Linked DNA regions of Kluyveromyces lactis. The protein of the gene in region 1 purifies or fractionates together with the protein of each later gene. This does not show direct contact. Links are inferred from orthologs where the notes say so. Each region holds a gene or a part of one and is shown on either strand. Other genes may lie near its edges.

Region 1 (4,110 bases):
TCTAACTCTCAGAAGGCCAGTGGTGTATACTTTTTTTTTCATCAACACTGCTTTACACTGCATAAGAGTCATTATTCTCGCCAATGGATTCCTAATTAGGCTCAGAAACGCATGCAGAGAATTTGTCCAAGATTAAATAGAAACACGTACAAACTAAACATCATCGATTCGATGAATAATTACTACCAAAGAACACTACGCTTTGCCATTCACGACGATATCGCCACAGACACACCTGTGAATTTCCAGCGGAAATTCTAGTTAAAAATCCGGGTGACGCATGATGCTTCTAGTTTTTCAGTGAGAAAAAAATTTTTCCAGCGGAAAACAAAGCAATCGGTAAGAAAAGAAAGAACAAGTAAAGAAAAGATAGTGAACATTACCCGGATAAACATAAATGTTCAGTGCGGGTTCGAATGGCCGCACATATTTTTATCGATAAAAAGTAGCTCATTAGTTACTTACGTAACCAACGGTGTATAAGAAGAGGATGTACGGGTGTACATAATTAATTGCTTCCCTCCTTTTGCTAGCACATCTTTATTTTTTTTTGTTTTTTTGTCTTCACTGTTCATTATTCTCAAATTACTGGTAATTTTGCACGACTTTCCACCCATGCCATTGGTCGGGTGCGATATTTTTACTGAGAACTTTTTCTTTCTGTTTATTTTTTTTTCATTTTTTTTCGTTCTCAAGCTCACTATGGGCGGTTAACTAAACTAAACCCCATCACCTAGTACAGAGAAAACATAGGGTTGACCCTTTGTATATAAACGCCAAACTTTTTTCGCAAGTTTTTTTTTTTTTCGGGGGGCCTGCGTTTCAGGATGGAAGTTAAACTGAAAGTTTCCCTAAAAAAACCTGTTTTGCGGGTAACATATTCTTTGTTTTTTTTTGTTTTTTTTTGTTTTTTTTTCTTGTTTATTTGTACAGTTCTGCCTGTTGGCTGTGTTCAAGCAGCAGTTTGTTTAAGTTTTTTTTGATTTTTTCATTACCCTAGTTATTTCTCGCCGATATTTCTTTTTCACTGTCTTGAGATTTCTGCATATATAAAAGAAGGTTTATATTTTGGCGTTATTTGTTTTGGTCTCAGCGGCAGAATAAACAAATTGGAAAATATCAACAAGGGCGCGAGAACTACATCCCGAAAAAAGACGCCTACATATACGGTAACGTGCCAGAGGGAACGTCACGATAGTGATACATACGTGTATATATACAGAGCTCTCGTCTATCGCATTGTTTCCCTTTTATTTTCATTTTTGTTTTTGAATTATATTGCAAGTGATTAGCATGTCATCACAGGAGTCTCGATTAGACAGACAGGTTATCTTGTTAGAAACTGGGTCCACGCAAGTGGTACGGAATATGGCTGCTGACCAATTAGGAGATTTAGCCAAACAACATCCAGAACAAACACTCCCATTGTTATCGCGGGTTTACCCTTATCTATTGAGTAAACAGTGGGAAACTAGAGTGACAGCTGCTAGAGCAGTTGGAGGAATAGTGTCACATGCACCGCTGTGGGATCCCAATGCGGATGACGAGGAAAGTAAAAATCCCCAGACGCAGCAGCCATTGGGTCCAGAGTCTGCCAAAGTTAAAATTGAAGAGGAGATGAAGGTAAAATTGGAGGAATTGTCACATACAGATGAATGGAATGAACTGCAGGACGACACGCATTATTTTACTTTGAACAGTTGGAAGATTAGTGAGCTGCTGAAGTCTGGGAAGAGTCTACTAGCAGCCAGTGCAAATGATTATGAATCGAAAGCTCTTAATATCAATAATAATGGGTCTGCAGATATCGAACAGGATGACGCTAACAATGTCAAACATCTGAAGAAAGAGGATTCGTTTGCCGATCTGAAAAAGGAAAATAGTACGGATTCGCTTGCAGATGAGGATACGGTAAATGAAACGAAAGAATCGAAGAGATCAGCAAGAATGCTGGCCATGGCAAGAAGAAAGAAAAAGATTCAAGCTAAAACGGTAAACAAAAAACCTGTAGATTTGTCACAGTCTAGTGCCACACGTAATATGATACCCAATAAAGAGGATCTGAGTGATTCTCCAACTCCGGTACCAATGACTTTAACGAACCCTAAACTTGAAATCACAGAACAATCCGATGAGAAGAGATTAATGGTCGAATCAATGGTGCAACCTATCTTGGAAAAACATGAAAAGATTAGGGGGTTCGTCTGGCAATTCCAAGGAATTTATGAACTCCTATTAGATAATCTTATGAACGAACAGTGGGAAATAAGACACGGTGCAGCATTAGGTTTACGTGAACTTATGAAGAAGCATGCTCCCTCAGTTGGAAGACTAAGTGGTAAGTCCAAACAAGACAACGATTCTCGTAATTACTGTAGCTTGGAAGACTTAGCTACTCGTCTCCTAACAATTTTTGCATTGGATAGATTCAGCGATTTTGTTAACGATACCGCCGTGGCACCGGTCAGAGAATCTGCGGCCCAAACACTCGCAACATTATTGATACATTTAGACGACGAAATTGCATTGAAAGTTTTCCAAAAGTTGGAGCAATTGGTACTTCAGGATCCTGGACTTACAGGATCTCCAAACAAAATATGGCAAGCTACCCATGGTGGATTGTTGGGTATTAGATACTTTGTATCGATCAAGACGGATTTCTTGTTCAAACACAACTTACTTAACAATGTGGTAAACATCGTTCTTTACGGACTCAAAGAAAGCGACGATGACGTACAAAGTGTCTCTGCTGCTATACTTTCACCAATAACAGATGATTTTGTAAAGTTACAAACTGACACCATTGATTTAGTGCTAACTACAGTATGGAACTCGTTGACACATTTGGATGATGATTTATCATCAAGTGTCTCTTCAGTAATGGATCTTTTGGCAAAACTATGCAAACATGAACAAGTACTCGCTGTATTAAAGCAAAAAAGTATCGACTCACCATCTGAATGGTCCTTCAAATCCCTTGTTCCTCAACTATATCCCTTCTTGAGACATTCTATCACAATGGTACGAAAGTCCGTTCTCAATTTACTATCAGCTTTCTTGTCTCTTAACGACAGTGCCACCAAAAATTGGATAAACGGCAAACTGTTCAAATTGATATACCAGAACATTTTATTGGAACAAAATGTGGAAGTGTTGGATCTATCTTGTAAACTTTATGCCGCAATGTTAAACGGTTACGTTAATAGCAAAGGACAGGAAAAAAGCATTGATTTTGTATTCAGCAAATATCTCACATCAATTTTGCATTTATTAATAACACCAATCGGAGAGCAAGGAAAAAATTATGCAATGGACATTCAGCATATTACCAAACCATCTTCGAGTTATTTGATAAACCTTGAGCGTAAGCGCTCTAATGCCACAGCTAACAGCAGCAATGTAACCGCCACTTATAGCCATCGCGTGAATATTGATTCACCAATGTTGGCTGGTGACGTGACATTAATTGGGCTAGACATAATATACAATACAAGAGTAAAGGCTGCGAAAACTTTGGGTTTAACCTTATCGTTTTTCCAAGAATCCACCCTTAGATCTTTCTTTGAGAATGTCTTAGCAAGTTGTCTTGATTTACCATACTCTACCCCAAGAATGTTGGTAGCTATAGTTCTATCATCGTTTTGCACGAATTGGAAAGAGAATCAACAGCATAATCCGGTACCCGCTTTCATGTCTACACTATTTAGCTCTACTTTCCTAGGGTTTTTGACGGGCGCGACTACACTTCCAGTTTTTCGTGAACTAACACCAATTTTAAAAGCATTACGCACTCAGTGTCAGAGTTTGATGACAACATTTGTCGATGTAGGAATGTTGCCTCCTCAAAGAGTTCCCGCAATCGCGATTATAGTTAAGGGCGAGCCAGAAGCTGGTCCCGAGGCCTTTTCAATCCAAACTGCCGAGAAAGTACAGACAGAGTTTTATGCCAAATTGTTCTCACTCCTACCAAATGCTCAGAAGATTTTGGCTCAAAAACCGTTAGAAGACGCACGCTATCGCGTTTCCTTGGCCATAGAATCGGCAAAAGAGTCAGAAAGGGAAAGGCAACTAGAGGTTTTGTCAAGTTACGCGTCTGCAGTTATGTTGATA
Region 2 (2,320 bases), on another chromosome or scaffold:
CAGAACTACCAATGGTGTGTCATTGTAAGTAATCCATTGTATGCATGTACAGCAGACGTCTTTCCCCTCCAAATAGAGAAAATTATCGTTCACTAAACCAGATTTGGAGGCAGTTGTTGGCTCCACTGATACCCGCTGTTTATCCAAAGCGGTGGAAACGTATGCAAAATATTGTCCGGTTGGATCATATTGTGATAATACGACTGGCGAAGCTGTTGCCATCGTTAAGCTTGCTATTGTTATTCGTGTGGTAGAGTGTAGACCTCTAGCTTAAACAGTACGAAAGCCGGTGATTGTTCAATTAATATCCCAAGACGTTTTATCGAAACACTTTAGGAAAGAAGTAAGTACACAAAAGTAAATACTGTGCGATGAGCTCAGATGAGATGCGATGAGATGAGCTATGAAAAGTTTCAAATGAAAAGCTTTAGCTTGGAAAGGAGAAAGAAAAGTGAGATTTACTTACAAAAAACAAGTGCCGGGTAATAAGAAGTTAGCATATATTGTTCACGTGATTTGGAGCATATAGCCAGTGGTCCCCAATTTAAGGCTTTTCTTCAGGATACATCCACTGAGCTGAGTTCGTTAACTCAGCTTTTGCAATCTTATTTTACAACCTCCAAACATTGCCTTCCTGCTTTCAAGTTATACACTTCATATCTCCTAACAAACACTAGTTAGCATTTCTACTGTGATGAGAGGAAGCTGGGTGATTAACACAACATAAAGAATTTACGTCAAGTAAGGAAAGAGCTCCTGCCTAACAACCAAGGTCAACACTTATATGTCTCTGTCCTGTTGCTAATTTGAATATACATCTATATATATATATTTTCCAATCAGAATTCCCTTATTGTCCCTTGTTTGCATAGGTGATGCGATGTGTGCGATGTGTGTTGTTGTTTTAATTTTTTTTTTTTTATTTTCAACTTTTCTTCTTAGTTTGATTCGTAGTTTTATATATAAAGCATCAAAAAATGTGCCAATTTGGCGAGCCATATCATTTTTTTGCATAGTGAATGAAATAGCGATGAGTATTTTTTTAGTATATATTATTATACATAATTCAGATCTAGAGTTCAAGGAGGACAAAAAAGTGTAATACCAGGCATTTAAAAACAAAAGTTGACATTGTTAAATTTGTTTACAATCTGTTATCATCTCAAGTTCATCCAATTATCTAATTGATTACTACGTGAAGTGCTTGTTTGGTATATTGACTTGCAGCACAGAATTAAGTTCGAGAGTATTATAGTTTTTTCAGGGAAGCTTGCAAAACCAAAAAATAATAATCACAAGCTTTATCTTAGAAAATAAAGACCGTTAGAATTTCAACCATAAGCAATTGAAAACATGGTTGGAGAGGTTGACGACGTTACATTACCGAAGGCTACCGTTCAAAAAATCATATCTGAAGTACTTGATTCCGATCTAACATTCAGTAAGGAGGCTCGTGAAATAATCATCGAATGTGGGGTAGAGTTCATCATGATGCTAGCGGGTTCTGCTAGCGAGATCGCAGATAAAGAGTTGAAAAAGACGATAGCGCCTGATCACGTGATCAAATCCTTACAAGATTTGGAGTTTGATGAATTTATTCCACCATTAGAAGAGATTTTACATCAACACAAAGAAAACCAGAAGATTAGAGAGAGGCGGGATGCTAAATTCAAGAAATCCGGTTTGTCTGAGGAGGAATTACTACGACAACAGGAAGAATTATTCAGACAATCTAGGTCAAGGTTACAACAGACATCAGTATCGGACGCCTCAAGCAACGATCCAGAAGTTGGCGTAAAGGCCGAAGAATTCTGAAAACATAACAAACAAAGTGTTGCATTATCTTCAAAACTCACTCCTCTATACTTGACAGACTTGCTCTAGAAAAGTTTATAGAAATACTTGTGTAATAGTACGATTTATTGTTATATGAAAGAGTTTGAAAATTCGTTCTGCATTTCAAGGACGGGAGTATGTATGAAATACCTCATGTGATTGACTGAAGTGCGTTTATAGAATATGTATACCTGTCCAATTCTGAATTTGGAACGATTATACTCTGCCGTTTGTAGATTTTATCGGATCATTTTCTATCATTATTGGTTAAGGCACGCGTTCATAAGCTTGAAGTTACAAACTCAAGTATTGTTTTCAATGCATCTTGAGAGTCGCTGTCCATTGATTGCATCACAATATGATACCTTTCGGGATTATACTGCTGTAGTGATACGAAGAATTCATGCAATTTTGAGAATGGATCGATATCATCTAACGGAGAATCATTGAAGTCGTCGTCAATTTCATCATAGAAATCGAGGCC

Evidence for each region. The genes of interacting proteins can lie anywhere in the genome.
Region 2: the proteins of MOT1 (region 1) and NCB2 purify together in Saccharomyces cerevisiae (affinity purification with western blotting; 3 studies listed by BioGRID, with this or other methods). This does not show direct contact. The link is inferred for Kluyveromyces lactis from reciprocal best matches to the Saccharomyces cerevisiae genes MOT1 and NCB2.

What each region holds. Positions count from the first base shown.
Region 1 is NC_006041.1:2,106,766-2,110,875, forward strand, and holds the start of MOT1 (DNA-binding ATPase), read left to right. Parts: upstream 1-1,293; coding exon 1,294-4,110. UniProt on the Saccharomyces cerevisiae protein: Regulates transcription in association with TATA binding protein (TBP). Removes TBP from the TATA box via its C-terminal ATPase activity. Both transcription activation and repression require its ATPase activity.
Region 2 is NC_006039.1:578,251-580,570, reverse strand, and holds NCB2 (negative cofactor 2 transcription regulator complex subunit NCB2), read left to right. Parts: upstream 1-1,353; coding exon 1,354-1,815; downstream 1,816-2,320. Other genes in the region: UTP5 (Utp5p), read right to left, coding at 1-222; SXM1 (Sxm1p), read right to left, coding at 2,117-2,320. UniProt on the Saccharomyces cerevisiae protein: Component of the NC2 complex which represses RNA polymerase II transcription through binding to SPT15/TBP and thereby inhibiting the assembly of the preinitiation complex.